Linked DNA regions of Kluyveromyces lactis. The protein of the gene in region 1 purifies or fractionates together with the protein of each later gene. This does not show direct contact. Links are inferred from orthologs where the notes say so. Each region holds a gene or a part of one and is shown on either strand. Other genes may lie near its edges. The genes, in order: COP1, KLLA0_D05863g and ERV41.

What was found.
Region 2: the proteins of COP1 (region 1) and KLLA0_D05863g purify together in Saccharomyces cerevisiae (affinity purification with western blotting; 3 studies listed by BioGRID). This does not show direct contact. The link is inferred for Kluyveromyces lactis from reciprocal best matches to the Saccharomyces cerevisiae genes COP1 and EMP47.
Region 3: the proteins of COP1 (region 1) and ERV41 purify together in Saccharomyces cerevisiae (affinity purification with mass spectrometry; 3 studies listed by BioGRID). This does not show direct contact. The link is inferred for Kluyveromyces lactis from reciprocal best matches to the Saccharomyces cerevisiae genes COP1 and ERV41.

What each region holds. Positions count from the first base shown.
Region 1 is NC_006042.1:478,116-483,816, reverse strand, and holds the start of COP1 (coatomer subunit alpha), read left to right. Parts: upstream 1-2,134; coding exon 2,135-5,701. Other genes in the region: CRR1 (putative glycosylase), read left to right, coding at 144-1,634. UniProt on the Saccharomyces cerevisiae protein: The coatomer is a cytosolic protein complex that binds to dilysine motifs and reversibly associates with Golgi non-clathrin-coated vesicles, which further mediate biosynthetic protein transport from the ER, via the Golgi up to the trans Golgi network.
Region 2 is NC_006040.1:499,676-506,572, reverse strand, and holds KLLA0_D05863g (uncharacterized protein), read right to left. Parts: upstream 4,068-6,897; coding exon 2,754-4,067; downstream 1-2,753. Other genes in the region: KLLA0_D05907g (putative short-chain dehydrogenase/reductase), read left to right, coding at 1-747; SWP82 (Swp82p), read left to right, coding at 1,131-2,663; KLLA0_D05841g (SelT/SelW/SelH family protein), read right to left, coding at 4,435-4,833; GTPase-activating protein RGD2, read left to right, coding at 5,101-6,897. UniProt on the Saccharomyces cerevisiae protein: Involved in the secretion of glycoproteins and in nucleus architecture and gene silencing. Required for the endoplasmic reticulum exit of EMP46.
Region 3 is NC_006038.1:446,015-452,486, forward strand, and holds ERV41 (Erv41p), read right to left. Parts: upstream 5,384-6,472; coding exon 5,353-5,383; intron 5,232-5,352; coding exon 4,237-5,231; downstream 1-4,236. Other genes in the region: FACT complex subunit POB3, read left to right, coding at 118-1,785; GMC2 (Gmc2p), read right to left, coding at 3,456-3,992; SMA2 (Sma2p), read right to left, coding at 5,681-6,472. UniProt on the Saccharomyces cerevisiae protein: Constituent of COPII-coated endoplasmic reticulum-derived transport vesicles. Required for efficient transport of a subset of secretory proteins to the Golgi. The C-terminal Ile-Leu motif is required for exit from the endoplasmic reticulum.

The DNA.
Region 1 (5,701 bases):
TAAAAATCACGACTATCATGTTCAAGAATTTACATCCGTGATCAATGACACTATCATTGGCAGCTTGTCTTGATCTACTACACCTCAAATTGTATCTGTATTCATAAACAAAAAAAACGCAGAAATTGGTTACTAGCATCGCAATGCTTTCTACTATTTTGTTATGGATTTCCTGTTGCACAATTTCAACTTTAGCACAAGAAGCTACTAGGTATTTCCCAGAAACTCCAATAGGCTGCTCTCTTGAAAATAATTGTCCTGCAGAATGGCCATGTTGCTCACAATTTGGACAATGCGGTACGGGTCCTTTTTGTGTTGGAGGTTGTAACCCAAGATTATCTCACGATCCAGGTAGTTGCTTAGGACAACCAGCATTATTACCACGAATGTCGCCTAGCTTCTGGTTGCAAAGCTCACTGGAGCAAAAACCTGCTCTAAAAAGTAGCTTTCTGCCTAGAGTACAACCCAGTATGGACGTTGCATCGAATGAAGGTGGAGAAAAGGACTTGAATAATAGAGGTATAGTTAATTTCGCTAACTTCCTAATATCACCACAAGAACGAATCATTAAGAAAATGTTAAGAGACTATCATTTCACGTACAGTGGATTTGTTAAATACGATGCACCTGGTCAATTGACTCTTGCTATGCCTAAACATACTTCGGGAAGTTTAATATCATCCACAAGATCTTTTCTATACGGTAGAGCTACCGTAAAAATGAAAACAGCTAGAGGTCGCGGAGTTGTTACTGCAGTGGTATTAATTTCAACTGTAGGTGATGAAATTGATTTTGAATTTATTGGAGGAGAATTACATCATGCTCAATCTAATTATTATCACCAAGGTGAATTAAATCACACAAGGATGGAAAAGCTAGAACTAAGTTCTGACAGTTTTGAAAATACTCATATTTACGAAGTCGATTGGGACCAAGATAGAATCAACTGGATTGTGGACGGTGTAGTAGCTAGAACATTATACAAGGAAGATACATGGAATGAGGAAAAACAAAGATACGAATATCCACAAACACCAATGAGATTGCAAGTGTCGGTGTGGCCAGGTGGAAGAGAAGATGCTGACCCTGGTACCATAATGTGGGCTGGAGGGCTCATTGATTGGGAAAACTCGCCCGATATACTTGAGAAGGGTCAATTTTATGCAACTGTGGAATCAATAGCCGTTACACCTTACGAAAACAAATTCTGGCCATCAATAGTTGATGAACTAGAAAGATTACATTTACCTATTGATGCTAATTCATTGTTAGATATTACTTACGATTACAATTATGACAAGTTTAATGAGCATACGTGGTTTGAAGATTCAGTCATTTGGAAGAAGGGCAAATTACCTTATTTATCTTCCTTGGACAAGAATGGCCTAAATCCGGGAAGACAGCAACAAAGTCTTTTGGTAGGTAAACAATTGAAGCAAGAGCAGGGAGATGGGCCGGATCAGAGTCCTTCAAACAGGTTTATTCAAGACACTAATAAACCATCGGAAAAAAATCATGAAGAACAAGATTTGCTCCTACGAAACGCTCTGCAGTCACGCGATGCTACCACAAATGGGGGTTCCAGTCACAATAACAGAAATCCTATCAAAAGATTGCTTAATATGCTACATTAATCAGTAAAGGTTGCCCAGATGTTCACATCTACACTATACATGTATAGATATATAGACCTATGTATACCACTCTCGTATATGCTATCTCTTCTAGCATTCTCTTACGCATAGAATCTGTAGAGATGCGTCTGGCACAAATTCGGGTAATTATTACCCTACCATTACGTCCTTTGCATACTCTTCGGATTCTTCCAATTTTCAAAAAGGACAACTTTTCAAATAAAACACGATCTTATTTCAAAATAGTAAGCCATATGTGTATTTTAAGTAATTTTATGAACCTTGAATGAAGCTGACTTTGGCTAATAAACAACGATCAAGGTACTTTGTCGTCTAATTGAGTTGTCAGTGAGGACTAACCATCGAAGGAAAGCTTCAATCGTAACCAATTGGTATATTGTTAACTGCAATTGTGACGTTTTCTTCCGAGTTATTCTTCTTATATTTCTCACAGTTTTTACTCAGATTTAGATCGAAGTCTTGAAAAGCTTGCTTTCATCATGAAGATGTTAACTAAGTTCGAATCAAAGTCTACCAGGGCGAAAGGTATTGCTTTTCATCCGTCTAGGCCTTGGGTTCTGGTAGCACTTTTCTCATCAACCATCCAATTATGGGATTACCGTATGGGTGTTTTGCTTCACCGTTTTGAAGATCATGAGGGTCCGGTACGTGGCATTGATTTCCATCCAACGCAACCTCTTTTCGTTTCTGCAGGTGATGATTATACTATCAAAGTATGGTCTTTAGAGAGCAACAAGTGTCTATTCACATTGGACGGCCATTTAGACTATGTTCGTACAGTATTCTTCCATCACGAATTGCCATGGATTATTTCCAGTTCCGACGATCAAACCATCAGAATCTGGAACTGGCAGAACAGAAAGGAAATAGCATGTTTAACTGGCCATAACCACTTCGTAATGTGTGCCCAATTCCATCCAGTCGAAGATTTGGTGGTTTCTGCTTCTTTGGATGAAACCGTTAGAGTTTGGGATATTTCAGGGCTAAGAAAAAGACATTCCGCACCAGGCACTCAATCATTCGAAGAACAAATGAGACAGCAACAGAACTTACTTGACGGAGGATTTGGAGATTGTGTGGTGAAGTTCATTTTAGAAGGCCACACTAGAGGAGTAAATTGGGCTTCTTTCCATCCAACTTTACCATTGATCGTTTCCGGTTCTGATGATCGTCAAGTGAAATTGTGGAGAATGAGTGCCACAAAGGCATGGGAGGTCGATACTTGTAGAGGTCATACCAACAACGTTGATTCCGTCATTTTCCATCCTCAACAGAATCTCATTATATCAGTTGGTGAGGATAAAACCGTAAGAGTATGGGACTTGGACAAGCGTACTCCAATTAAACAGTTCAAAAGAGAAAATGACAGATTCTGGTTAGTGAGAGCTCACCCAAACCTAAATCTGTTCGGTGCTGCTCATGATTCTGGTATTATGATCTTTAAGTTGGACCGTGAAAGACCACCAACTGCTATAAACCAAAATCAGTTGTTCTTTATCAACAGGGAGAAACAAGTCCAAATGTTTGATTACCACAAGAGAATCACTTCTCTACCTTATCTTTCTTTGAAAAACATCGGCAAGACCTGGAGTTCATTTAGAAGTATGTCTTATAACCCATCCCAACATTCCGTCCTTGTCAACTCCTCCGAAAAGGAAGCCAACAGGTTCAGCTTATGTGTCTTACCTAAACAACCTAGTGGAGCTGTTGAAGCTAGCAACGTCATCTCTGATGATGGTAGTTTTGCGATCTTCGTTGCTCGTAACAGATTTGTGGTGCACAATGGCAGCACTAATAGCTTGGAGGTTCGTAGTTTAGATAACAAAACCACAAAGTCAATCAAATTAACTGATACTGTTAAAGACATCACATTAGCTGCTCCTGGTACTGTTTTGATTCTATATTCTCATTCTGTGGTAATGATGGACGTCCAACAAGGTAAAATTCTTCATGAATTATCTTTAAAGAACATCAAGTATACAGTGTGGTCTCAAGATGGCCAATATGTTGCATTGATGAGTAAGCATACATTGACAATCGCAAACAGAAAACTGGAAATCGTTACATCAAACCATGAAAGTATTAGAATCAAGAGTGCAAGTTGGGATGAAACCGGTGTCCTAATTTATTCAACATTGAACCATATCAAATACTGTCTATTGAATGGTGATTCTGGTATCATTAAAACCTTAGAAAGAACATTATACATCAACAAGGTACATGGCAAATTTGTCTATGCTTTGAATCGTGAAGGGGAAGTAGAGATTTTGACAATTGATCCTACTGAATATCGTTTCAAGAAGACTTTAGTCAACAAAAATTTCCCTGAGGTATTGCGTATCATTAAAAATTCAAATTTAGTTGGTCAAAACATCATATCTTATCTTCAAAAATCAGGCTATCCTGAAATTGCGTTACAATTCGTGGAGGATCCTCAAACAAGATTTGATTTGGCTACACAATACGGTAATTTGACAGTTGCTCTTGAAGAAGCTGAGAAATTGAACAATGAACTTGTATGGGAAAGATTGGGCAAAGAAGCTTTGATCCAAGGTAACACAGATATCGCTGAATTGGTATATCAAAACACTAAGCAGTTTGATAAACTGTCTTTCCTATATCTACTTAAGGGAGACAACTCCAAACTGGCAAAAATGGAGTCTATTGCTGAACATAGATCAGATATTTCCGGCTTGATTCAAAATACCTTTTACAATAACTCAGTTCAGAAGCGTGCAAATGTCTTTTTAAATGCAGGCTCTGCTCCTTTGGCTTATGCAGTGGCAAAAGCTAACGGCGACGATGACCTTGCCACTTCCATTTTGGAATCCGAAGAAATTGATGAGCAAGACATTTCCCTACCAACTGAACTCAACTCCTCCACAAATGTAAAAACCCCTGTCATTTCTGCTCCTTTGAAAAACTGGCCGTTAAAGCAAGCTGAAGTCTCATTCTTTGAAAAAGCCCTTTTGGGCCAAATCGAAGATCTTGAAATTTCTGATGATAAGGAAGAAAATGTTTCAGATACTACCCAAAATGTTGGCCAGTTTGATTTAGGAGAACAAGATAACCTAGACTTTGATGATGAAGCTGTTGGAGAGGAAGAAGATGCTTGGGACCTAGACCAAAATGATTTGGAATTAGACGACGAGTTAGAGATCGAAGAATCCGAAGTGACTGAAGAACAAGTAGATGAATCAGAATTGCCAATGTGGGTTAAAAATTCAAAGCTTCCAGCAGTTCTAGTAGCCGCTGGAGCCTTTGATGCTGCTGCCCAAGCCTTGAATAAGCAGGTAGCCGTTGTAAACTTCGAACCCCTCAGGACACCATTCATTGATATATACGATGGTGCAAGAACTTATATGAGTGCTACACCAAATGAATTACCTTCAATTATTGGATACATCCGAGCTGATGCCGATGAGGAGGACAAATCTAAAATACTACCATTTGTTCCTGGCGTTTCTGTAGTCACCACGAAGTTGAACGAGGGATTCAAAGCATTTAAGGCTAACAAATTGGAAGTTGCTATCGAGCACTTCCGAGACGTTATCTATGCCATAGCTTTGTTAGCAGTTACTGACAAAGAAGATGAAACAACAGCACAAACTGCACTTGCAACTGCTCGTGAATACATCTTAGGTCTTTCTATGGAGCTAGAACGTCGTGCTCTACCTGCCAATGACGTTAAGCGTAACCTGGAATTGGCAGCATACTTCAGCAGGACAAAACTTCTACCTGTGCATAGAAGTAATGCTTTGAATGTTGCTATGACCCAATCATTCAAAAACAAGAACTTTGTATTAGCATCCTATTTCGCAGGCGAATTCCTCAAGATTATTACATCAGGTGCCCGTGCTGACCAAGCTCAGAAAATCAAAGCAAAGGCTGATTCGATGGCATATGATGCCATCGAGATTGATTTCGATCCTTATGCTGAATTTGATATCTGTGCAGCTTCACATACCCCAATTTACAAAGGATCGCCATCTGTAGCAGATCCTTTAACTGGGGCGAACTATCACGTTTCTGAGAAGGGAAAGATT
Region 2 (6,897 bases), on another chromosome or scaffold:
GGTGCTAAAGTCATCGTTGTTGGTAGAACGTTCAGAGACGAAAATGTTGAAGGTATTGAATTTATCCAGGCTGACCTAGGTTTGGTGTCAGAGGCATCCAGAGTTGCGGAATTGTTACCTGCTGAAAAGTTGGATCTTCTTATCTTCACTACGGGAGTTTTGGCTCCTCCAGCGAGACGTGAGACTAGCGAAGGTCTAGAAGAAGATTTGGCCGTCAGTTATATCAGCCGACTAGTGATGATGAATCATTTGGTACCCAGATTGAAGGAACATGGTGAGAAAAAACCTCGCGTATTTGTAATGGGTTTCCCCGGTGATAACTATATGGGAGATTATAGAGATTTGAATTCAGAAGAATCTTACGGAGCTATTTCCACACATATGAAAACAGTAGCCGGTAATGAAGCTCTAGTTTTGGACTTTAAGAATAGGTTTGCTACTGTCAATTTTTATGGGTTGAATCCGGGGCTCATCAGGACAAATATTAGAGATAATTACCTTGGTAAAGACACTTGGAAGTCAAGAGTGGTAGAATGGTTCATAGGTATGACAAATCAGACTGCAGAGCAATACGCTGAAAAGTTAGGCCCCTTGCTAGTTGCCCCAGAATTGGAAACTCATTCAGGCGCCATGTTTGACAAGAATGCTAACCCGATCCTTCCATCAAAAGATTTTACTGATGATTACGCCAGGAATTATATCAAGGCCTCAGAAGAACTTCTTGCAAATCTTAAGTTGGCTCAATGAATGACACTACCAACATCTGAAGCCACCGGCACTATTATCTAAGAATCCCGTTTTATTCCTATATTTTAGATACGTTAGTTTGTATGTAACCTAACTGTCGGGTATTTGCTGTGTCAGTTGCTGGTCATCACGTGATCAGTATCTTTATGTATTTTCCATTGTTTTGAAATTGGGTCTTTTCAACATGTAATCTAACTATCGAATGCCTGTCATTAACATAAACGTAAACATATGCATATCTTTCAAAGTACATCGTGAAAGAATTCAATAGACGGTATAAGCTGCGACACTTTCATCCATCCTAATTATATTTGGAACACCACGAGACCTTTCTGGCTGTTGAACAGGATACGTTTATTTGTTTATCTTCACATGCTGGAAAAATGGACTCCAGTACTAACTCATCTGTCACTGCTCAGGTGAATCCGGTGCCAGAATATGTCATAAAGAACCATGAGCTTTTTATTTTGAAAACCACATTATCAATACTCAATAACCCTGAATTACTCTCCGGCAGACTTGACAAGCCACCAACAAAGCAACTTGTACTACCTTCGTTCACCATTAAGGAAAGGTTATCAGACAACAATGACTCTTATGTTTTGGGAAAGGGTGATCAAAATGGGGAAACGAAGGTTGATAAACAAGGACGGTTACATGGAGAAAGGCATTACTTGTTTCCTACTTTCACTTATCCATGTGCGGAAAACAATAATTCGGAAAATTTGTACGTCTTAGTACGGGATTTGATTAGAGTCTTGAATCTAGATGTGGAACAACAAGAGTTTTTGGCTCAGCATCCAGACCTTTACCCAATTAATGCAAAACATGATATTATCGAATTTTTGACCCAGTATAAACTTTTACCTGAAGGTGCTACTGCTGCAACATATATCACAGCTAGATCTGCTTTTCTTGTCTTTGGAGCTGCTATACTAGCATCCGGATCAAGAGTGATAGATGATTACTGGGAACAACTATCCAAAGAACAGGGCTTCCAAGCGCAGCACAGAGTATACGCACTCTCTCAAAAACTTCTCGACATGGTATGTTCGATCGATCCAAGGACTAGAACAGCACATTCTTTAGGTCCACCTGAGCTTCCTGAATCGAAGCAAGCACAAGCGGGCGTTATGTCCACATCACAACCGCAATTCGAAGACCCGTTTTCAACCATTACGGAACTACCGCCTTTAGAAGCACGTAAAGAGTTCTTAAGTAATATTGCTCATGGTGAGCAAACTGCAATCATATCGGGTCAAACTATACATGGAGCAATCGAGTTGAGTACTATTTACAAAATTCCAAAATACCACTATAAGAATTCCTTCGCCGCTGCTCAACAACACAATGTTCTAGATTCCCCGATTGGAACGCACACCCACCCGGTAGAATCTCATAACTTTGGTAGAGGACGTAAAGCTAACTATGTTCCCCCGGAGGAGACAGATGTGTTGGCTCAAATTCCTGGATGGAAATTTACGCAGCTACCAGTTACAACAAATGATGAGTTACCTACAACTTTCAGTGCTGGAGGGTTACCGATATATAATAAGGCGAGACTTCCTGCAAGGTTAAAACTATTGACGCCAAACCAAATAAAAGATTTAGAACGATCCCATGATGTTGTTCATTTGAATACAGCTCTTGGCCATGTCCGAAAGTTAAGAAACACCCGTTGGACTAAATTTTGGCAGTATAAGGCCGGTGCACCTGTTGGCCTTACGGAGGATCAACTTTCGTATTACAAAGAGCAATATCTACAGCAAGTTTTGAACCATGTTGATGTGAGCATTGTGCCAAACGAAACGAAGAATGTAGATGAAAAGCGTACCGTTAAGCGAGTACCGAATCCAAATTTTTTGGGATACTCCAATGTGTCAGGGTTTAGGCCACCTTATGTTGAAAAACCTTAGAATAATAATGCAACTTCATCTATATCGAACTAAATACTGCTAGTAGAAAGCTATGCAATAAAGCTGCAGATATATATAGAGGATAATTCATTATAACAATTTAACTTTAACAATGTCTTGACGAATTTTGAAAGTGTAGTATGCCATAACTAAAACGATTAGTATTAGAGGCAAAATCCACATTAAGAGTCTCTTGACGATTTCGTCAACTGAAACGCCATTTCCAGCATTTTCCATGCTTTGTTTGGTGGCCTCTCTAATCTTTGCTTGATCCTGAAGTAATTGCTCCAACTTATCATTCATAACAAAGAGGTCCTTGAAGGATTCTGTATTTACTTCACCTTCTTTACCCATTGAAGCCACAATAACTTCTAAAGTAGTTGATAGATATTCTAGCTTTCTCAAGTGCGCTGCTTGATTTTCCAAGATGCCAATTAATTTACCGTTTATCACGCTGATGTCATTGGCTAATATCTTGCCCTCAATCTTATCCAATTTCTTGTAAAGTTCGTAGTTGTCCACCTTATTTGCTAAACCCTTCATTTTCATGAAATCTGTTTCTACAACGTCTTCTTTACCAGTATCCTTGTTGATAATCTTTGTTACCAATCTAGGCTGTTCCATAGGGTTAACATTTGGAATTGTAACTTCTTTAGTAAGACCGTTATGAGTATGTACCTTCAGGACTTCAAATGATTCCTTGTTAGCATCATTCTTTGCAGTGATACCCATCTTCATTTTCGCATTTTGTGGGAATTGAATTTGTCTGGTTTGGAAACACACCCTATTATCGACTTGAAGTTTCAATAGGTTATTGTTCTTCCTATCATAACTCAATCTGATAGTGGTTGGAATAGTAGTATCCTGATAGGCTAACAAACAATAGGCAAAAGAATGATCGTACACATTTTTTTCAGTCAATTTCTTAGACCCGTCGTTCAAGATACCACGAACAGAACTACCCACGGGCCCATTGGAATCCACCAAAATTTGAAGCCCATCAAACGCCTCTGGTCCACCGAATAAAGAAGTTCCTCCTGCACTTTTACCCTCCACTAACCAGAAGGACAACCCACCTTCAGATTTCCCTATAAAATCAACACTTCTGAAAGTCCATTCTATGGTGAAGGAGTCCTTAATTTGATAATCAGTCTTGTGCCAAATCGAACTTTGACTGGATGCACTTGGTGTTAAACGAAGTCTCCCTTCCTCCAAAACCAAACCTCCGCTGGTCTTCCAATCTGAAGGCACGGCATTCATGTGAACCAAATCAGGTAAAGAATGACTGGCATCTAGTATATCGTTATCAGACACGGCACTTTCATGTAATTCCGCTTCTGCAATTGCAGCTGCATTTGCAACGGTAATGTATGCGAACAATACAGCCAACCAGTGGACAAACATCTTTTGTTTCAAACGATGTGTGCTGCCCTACACTATTAAGATTGAATTCACTCTACAATAGAATAACAAGAGCAATATCCAATTCACAATACTTGTTCAACAAGGGTTGTAGGTTCCTTCTCGTTTGTTAAAAGAACGTCAATAAACTTATTTTCTTCCATAATTGATTCGATTCAAAATTCGGGTTTCATATCAAGAAAAGGAATATGACAAGACTTAGTATTAACACAAAGAATTACATGAGCTTACCACTGCAACGTTTCAAGCCGCCTAAAAATGTACTTGTGATCCTGTATTAGTTATTTATATAGTTATGAATTACAGTTATTCGTTATAAAGGTAGATTTTCAGTTCTTGTAACATTTATTTATGTCTCACAATCTTTGCATGACGTATTTTGATCATCTGTGGAGCATTGATTGATCTTTTCCGATACTAGAGTTTCTTTAGCCGAGGAAGATTTTGATTTCCTGTCGATATGGGCCCCTATGGCCACTTCATCATTGAAAATAAGAGCCTTTACCCGTTGTTTTAAATATTTACTGTCAGGAAATCCATCGTCCACGACTCTGTCCCAAATTACTATCGGTTGAGAACCTTCCGTTTGGTATCCAAGAACTTTGAATTCGCCTGGTTCGCCTGGAATCAATGAAATCTCTTTCAATTCAGATCCAAACGTTTGTAGAAGTTCTTGGACGTACCATGCACTCCGGAGATTCCATTTACATTTAGTGCAGAATACAATTGAAACTTTGGGGAATGGCATCTGTTTGAAAAGTAATAAAATAGATACCTTGAGTTATTCACCAACTATCTGTCAATGAAATTGCCTCAACATATGATGTTACTTCAAATTTTGGTGCTATGTATGAGTGTATGTATTTACATTCTCCAAATTTAACAGTTCCAGTTTGAGGAATCGATAATCTAATTTTAAACCGTTAAATTCAAGACTTATGAAACCTTTAAAAACGTAGATGACAACATAGTAAAAGAAGATGAAAGGTCCATCCAGCAACCTCGACCGATACCAATGCCATCATTTGCGGAGAGCTTTTGGTCTCCGGATTTTATAAGTGGGATTGAAGCGCTCTTTGGGAAGTTGCATAAAGGTTGTGATCAAAATGACCTTTTTATCCAGCTTTTCGCTTCAAGAATGCAGTATGAAGTTGAGTTTGGAAGACACTTGTGCAATATCAACAAAGGTGTTGATGAGTTCGATGCATTAGACTCTACATGTAACTCGTCACTAGCGGGTATGATTGGGCAAATGGTGGAGGAAGGTAACCATCATTTGAAGATCGCCTCTACCATTGAGATGACCGTTTTGGGTCCCTTTACAAAGTGGAGACAAGAACATAAACAACGAGTACAATATTCAGAAAAGATATTGAAAACAAATGCGAGATCATTCCTTAAGTCAAAAGGGTTTGTTGAGAAACTGGAGCAGACCTATTTGAACAAATGTAGACTACTCGAGGATTTTAAAAGATCTACATTCAATGAAGATGAATTATCTGACGCTATGAAATCTCTAGATCTGCAGAGAGAACATGAAGCCAAGGTGTTGCAAGAAAAGGAATACCAGAAATTTGGTGTGTTTGGTGGTATTGACTACGATTATAAGGGTATAAAGGAAACTTTGAAACTTTTATTGACAAAGCTACCAAAGCATCAATATAAAGTTCCCTTCATCTCTTTTACCATCGAAAACACCAACAGTGGTAGTGAAATCGTTGCTTTTTTGATGACACACATGTCTCTAAAGGACATTGATCATGCAGAGTTGTTTGGTCAGGATTTATTGAACCATGGTTTTATCAAATACTGCAACGGTGTTGGTACAACTTTCGCCAACTCGAAAAAATTTCAATATCAGTGGAAACCGTACGCTTATAAGTTTTGCAACCTATCCACCACAGATGCAAACGATGATTCCCTCAATGAAGCTGAAAGTGGGATAGTGAACTATTTCCAAAAGATGACCGCTGGGAATGAGGCTACTTACTCATCAATTCATCAACCAAACTTCTCCGATAACGAAAAGAAGTTATACAAATTTGTAAGAGACGTGGAGGTTTCTGATTCCAAGTATATGAAAGAATGCAAAAAATTGGATTCGTTACGGTGTTCGTTTGAAGAGTTGATTGTAGATCATTATACATTCATGGAGAAGTGTGAATCAGATAGATTAATGGCAATACGCAAAGTAACTCTAGACTTTTGTGCGGCAATCGGAAATACAATTTCTTCAATGAAGTTAACTATTGAAAAACTGACCGACAGTGAGGCATTGATTGACCCCGCAGCTGACTTATTGAAAACCATTGAAGAAAACAGAGTTGGTTTCTTTCAACCTCGCGTCATTCCGTACAACAACTACTATAACCCAGGTAGTTATCAAACCTTTGGTATCGATTTAGAAACAAGATGTAGAAGTGACAATAGACTAGTGCCATTGATTCTCTCTGCAATCTTACTATATATGGACCAAGCATACCCTGAAATGGAAAATGATTATAAGAGAGCTATTGTATGGACAAAGCCTGTTAAACTTCACGAAGTTCATCAACTAAGGCAACTTTTAATCAAGCCATTCAAAGAAGAGTCTGAAATCATCGAAATATTACGATCTAAAAAGGTTGAACCATCAACAGTAGCTAGCGTATTCAAAATTTATTTGCTCGAATTACCAAAATCGCTTATAACAGAGGATGCGTATGACATTCTCAAAGTTCTATATCGAGAATATCCACCATCAGACATAAAAGAAGAAACCGAAAACCAAAGGGTCCGTGGTCTTACCACTGCATTATCCACATTATCAAAA
Region 3 (6,472 bases), on another chromosome or scaffold:
TAACGGTAGGCAGAGTTGTTAGCCCATAGTTTACGTTAGACAGGTCAGTATTACTGAAATCTAGTGATCTTCGTCTTGGATACCTACTTTTTATTTCTTATATTGGGATAGTGGAGAATGAGTACAGATTTCGATAGAATTTATTACAACCAATCCAAGCTCGGTGGACGTTTCCGTCTAGCTGAAGGAGGTCTTGGTTGGAAGGCATCCGCTACAGGTGGGTCAGCCTCTACTCAAAATAATGAACCTTTGCTATTGGCTGCAGATGAGGTTTCTTCCGTTCAATGGAGTAGAGGATGTAGAGGCTACGAATTGAAAATTAGTACTAAGAATAAGGGATTGATTCAAATGGATGGGTTCCAACAAGAGGATTTCAACCTATTGAAGAATGACTTCCAACGTAGATTCAACATGCAATTAGAGCACAGGGAACATTCTTTACGTGGTTGGAATTGGGGTAAATTGGACTTAGCTAGAAACGAAATGGTTTTTTCATTGAACGGTAAGCCAACTTTTGAAATCCCTTACACGCACATCAATAACACTAATTTAACAGCAAAAAATGAGATTGCATTAGAATTTGACACCCAAAATGAGGCATATAATCCTGCAGGTGATGAACTTGTTGAAATGAGGTTATATGTTCCAGGCACAGTTGAAGAAAATGAAGATCAAGATCAAATCATGGTAAAGGACGAAGCAGAAGCAGAAGACGGTGTTAAGTCGGAGGTTAAGACGGAAGAGGGTAGTGAAGAACCAGACGTTCAAGAAGAGAAGACTTTAGCAGAATATTTCTACGAAGAATTGAGATCTAAGGCAGATATCGGTGAAATTTCTGGTGATGCCATCATTTCTTTCCAGGATCTGTTCTTCACTACGCCAAGAGGCCGTTACGACATTGATATCTACAAAAACTCTATCAGACTTAGAGGTAAGACTTATGAGTACAAGTTACAACATCGTCAAATAAACAGAATCTTCTCTTTGCCAAAAGCTGACGACATCCATTACTTGATGGTTTTATCGATTGATCCACCAATCCGTCAAGGTCAGACATCCTACCCATTCTTGGTGTTACAATTCCAGAAGGACGAGGAAACAGAAGTCCAACTAAATGTGGAAGATGATGAGTTCGAAAAGCTTTACAAGGATAAACTAAAGAAACAATACGATGCTAAAACTCACATTGTACTAAGTCATGTCTTAAAGGGTTTGACAGGAAGAAGAGTCATTGTTCCTGGTGAATACAAGTCTAAGTATGACCAATGCGCGGTATCCTGTTCATACAAAGTCAATGAAGGCCACTTATACCCATTGGACAATGCGTTTTTGTTCTTGACGAAACCAACCCTATATATACCCTTCCAAGATATTGCTGCGGTCAATATTTCAAGAGCTGGTCAGACATCTACATCAGCCAGAACATTCGATTTGGAAGTTGTTATGCGTGCCAATAGAGGTACTACTACTTTTGCTAATATTTCTAAAGAGGAACAACAACTTCTAGAGACATTCTTGAGGTCCAAAAACTTGAGGGTAAAGAACGAAGATAAGGAAGCAGAACAGAGACTGCAGACTGCCTTCGGCTCAGACAGCGATGATGATGATGTAGATATTAACATGGGTTCTGCAGGTGAGGATGAAGAATCTGTAGATGAAGATTTCCATGCGTCCGACGAAGATGACGATGTCGCTGAAGAATTTGATTCAGAAGCATCCGCCTCCGATTCAGAAGGTGAAACCTCAAAGTCTGAAAGACCTTCCAAGAAAGCCAAGTTGGAATGAAAAACTCATATATCATGTATTAGTACAAATAAATAAATAAAAAACTATATACACTCCTCGCGGTATTTGTCGAATAATGTGTCTTTCTTTTGTTTGATTGACTAGTTCTTTAATTTTTAGTACATCTAAATGGCTTGACAAAAGAATAAGGGTCCCATCCAGAGAACTAAACTTCAAAGGGTTGAGAGAAGGATAATTTTGCTAAGCCCGTAAAAGTATCGACTGCTTTTTTCATGCTTCAATCATTTAATGGTTCTGTAAGAGTTATTCTATGACTTCTGGTGAAAGATCCTTAAATCAAGAACTAGAATGATGAAATGAATGCACAAAGAAATTTTGATCCAAGATAACTCGCTTCATACATTCGAGGTATATTAGATATTAGTATGATAGCTACAGACGGTACCTTAACTATAGAATATATCATAGAGATTCCTGGAGTTGACGAATTGTCCGGGAATAGTTTCTTTTTCACTATAAGAAAAGATTCATAGCTAAACGACAATGAAGGGTCGGAATTGACTTTGAACTCAGCATGAATGACTCAGGATGACATGACAAATATAGATAAATACATGGCAAGCGAGTTTGGTAAAACGTGTGTTGAAGACAAAATTCCATTGGTTTAAATTATTCCTGATAGTTGTCACATGCTGCTCTTTCGACTTTGACCAGCGAAGAAAACATCTATACCAGTCATGATGCTAACCAGTGAGATACTTCTCTGAACATCAAAGGTGAGCAGGGATCTCGTTGTATGAAATGACCGAACTTCAACTGTTGCATTTGTATTGAATAGAGAAAAGGTTCTAAAATGGTAAAACTTCCCTGTACTAAGCCTTGTTGTGTGGAGAAAGCCTGAAGGAATTTTATCATACTATGATTGATGAGGAAAGAATTGAAAATGTATGATGTCCTGAATGCTCATATAATCCTATCGACCTTAGTGCTTTTGATAAATTTGATAGTTTGGAAGATGCATTGTTTGCTCCCGCTCTTCCCTACGGTTTCTTCGAAGGATTATATTAACTGATGCTGACATTATTAGCTACGGAACGTTGCACAAGCCAGGTGCCTTGTTGAAATATACCAGTACAATCCTTATTCATGTGATATATATTCTAGGTGAGATGCTCGGTGTGTTAATGATACGTTGGATGAAACATTGTACGCTGTAAGGCGTATGATATAGTGTTTTGTTCTAATTGTTTGCACGCATGGCACGGCAAACACAACCAATGTGGAATACCAAAGGCGATAACGGTAGCATTTTTGGAAGAATATGCAGATGAAACTGTGCCTCTAGAACAAAAAAGCGGCTCGAAATAATGAAATTCTGCTGAAGAACAATGGAATTTGAAGTAGATGCGTATTTAGCGAAACAAATGTTGGAATTAGTCCTGCCGGAAAAGGACTTGAATATGCAGTAATGTCCGAAATATGAAACAATCGTATAAAAATTGGAAGGATGTAACAAGATGAGTTGTTATGTCTGCATGATGCCGTTTCGTTTCTTCTGTGTTATTGCCTTGAACCCGGATGATTCGTAATCTCATTTTGTGGATCGAGATTCCGAATGTATGGTCAGATTTTTGAAGGTATGCCTGGCGCTGATGATTATTGATCGAATGCGTTGGGACAGACAACAAAGGGTAGCAAAATAATGACTTTCATCTCTTGGAAAGATCTTCTATGGTGGTTTTAATGACTTTTGCCGAAGTATCGAGTTCTTTTCTTGTGTATTGTAAGTATGCTTCTTTAGATTTCATCCACATTTCAGCATTGGCTATTCTCGTGGCACCTCTATGTGAATCAATAGTAAATGCCGCCTCTTGCCACATGAAATGCTTCTTATATACCTCATCAAGTTCAGCTAAGATCTGTTCCATCTCCTTACTGTATTGATCCATTAATTCTGCAGAAACGTCGTACATCTGATCCCAATTTAATTGTGATATAGGACTCTTATCATTTTGATTCTTCACCAGACTCTTACTGATTTCCTTAACACTTTTCAAGAATTCATTCTGCAACACTTGCCTTTGAACCTCCTCTTTCTTCTTATCACTCTGCCATTCGGCGGCTAATTTGTGAAGGTCTAAAGGGAGAGCATTCGTGGAACAAGGGGATGCTGTTTTTGGATCAACATTTGAAGCTTTGTCGATATAGTTAGCAGTGTCTGAAAGGGATGATAAGTTGTTAGGCATTGGTCTCTTGATAATCGTTGTTTTATGAAATCAAGTCGAAGTCACATGAGTGAAGCACATAATTAAAAGTTACTGTTTTTCTATTTTGCATTTATCGACAGGTACGTAATTATAACCAAAGAGAGATTTGAACCAATTGAAAATGAACCACTTTAATATGCCTTCATACCATCTATTTATGCTACGTTATCCAACTGGTTTATAACAGTTGAAAGTTCTTTGGTAATCAGTCTTTTTAGATAAATTATTCATCTAAAAGCCCATGAGATGGACTTTGATCTTTTGAATAGTGAAGAGACCACTTAGGACCAAGAGCTAGGACTAGTGACTTGTCTACAAGTCTGAAAATCCAAGATGCCGTGTAAACGATGAATGACAGGATTGCAACGAGTCTGATAATAAACTGGAAGAATCCAATACGCATATCACTGATGATTATCTTCATGGGTTCGAATTGATACCTAATGAAGATACCAGGAACCCCGGTAGCTTTACTAGATTCTCCGTACTCTGTTTCACTCAAAGCATATTGATTGGTATCTACTTCGGCACCCATTTTTTTGTAAAGTGTTGGTACTATCGAGGTAAAGTAGTAATATGCTTTGATCTTCTCATCCGAAAATTTGGCGGTGTTATCTAAAGGATTGTCAATGTAAGGATAAAAGTCACCGAAGGAAAGTTCGTTTATTACATGATTGAAATTTATTTGGTCCTTTGGAATGGCAGAGGCAGACCGGTAACCCCAACCGTGAGCGGTGATATGTAATTCACCTTTCACTTTATTGACAGGAACTGAACCAAATATGTGACACCCATTAAAATCATCTCTTCCAGTTAACTCAGACGTATCAATAGCCTCCCTGAACTGGGCTGGGATCGCTTCGCCAAGTATTTCGTCGAGGTCCGGTGAAACAATATTGTTCATCTCATTTACTCTTGTGCCCACAGGGATGTAAAATGGCATTCCTTCCATTTGAATGTTCTCTGATATGAGTCCACGGTCGCCAGTAATATCTCTAGCATTAATTCTAATGTTTTTACATGCCATATTCACGTAGAGATCCAAGTTAATAGTAACGGTTTCCTTGATTTGGTCGTCCACGACATATTGCTGATCAATGTAACCTCCAAAAAAGCTACCAAATTCGGACCATGCGATGAATAAGAGAAACAAATATGTCAAAATGGAGCTAAGGCCACCCTTGGATGAAGTCTTCACATGCTGTTCATCGGTTTTAGCTGGTGATAAAGAAATGCAACGCATAGGTTTGGTATGCATGTTAGTATACTCATATAATTTGAGAAGGCCCTTTTTATTTCAAACATGGGGCCTCTATAAATAGGAGAAAAAAGAACTTACGGAACGCATCAAATGTCCTAAGACCTGCCATTGCTGAGAATAATTTTTGACCGTTGCCCGTTAGCTGGTACAGACACTGAATGTTTTTTATGCATCTTTAACATTCAATTCAGTTACTTAACTTAAATGTTCCACTATTAGATTTCACCATGAAATTTCGAAATTTCATATTGGATAGTGAAGTGGAAACTTTCCGATACTGAGAACACGCCGATCGTTTTGGGATTAAGTAGGAAGCTATGAGGGCGGTAGATTTGTAGGCGCTAAGGCCTATGAAAAGCTCTTGATATATGGACGGTTTATAAAAGACTATATTTAGTGTTCATATCTACACAGTGAGCAGGAATCCATCGACTGCAGTAGTCCCACTAGCAGGATTTAGCGCGCTGTAATTATCCTCAGTATCTTTTTCTTCTTCATCTTCTACGGCTGTTGATTGTGTTTCGCTCATTACTGATGCAGACATGGCTGAGTGTGGTGTCATCCATTTGAAACATAGCACCGCAAATATTAGCTCCACAAAGAACCTCGCGATGTGGAACCATGCACCCGTTCCGAGAGACGCGTGGATAATTTGTAGTCTTTTGTAACGGAAACAATTAATCATGAAGGTAAGCAGCAATATGTGAAGAATATAGATGAAAGTAATTGTTGCATTGCAAATACTCAGACACCGAGTTATTGAGCAGATTGAATTGATATTCCAATTCAATTGCTTGATTGGACTTTGTGTCTTTTTGTGTTCGATTTGCATCCACATCCAGAAAAGAAGAAGCATCAAACATAGAGATGCTAAGATGCAGTTAGCTACTACTGTCCATTTCAACACAACATTGACAGCATCATAAATGTTTATCAACCATAGTCTTGTTTTCCATTGTTCCATTTCGTTCGGATCATTTGGGGTGATCATTTTCAATAAAGTGTTTCCTCTTTTATCATCCTCTAAAAATTTATTGAAGGAATTGATTAACGTCTGGTATATGATCCAGAACGAATCACCAGTTATCTTTACATTAGTCTCCGATAAAACCCCGAATTGAAAGCCCAAATCACGAATTAGAACGGATATTATATTTAGCCCGTTTGTGTTATCTATACAGTAATGGTTTAGCTTCTC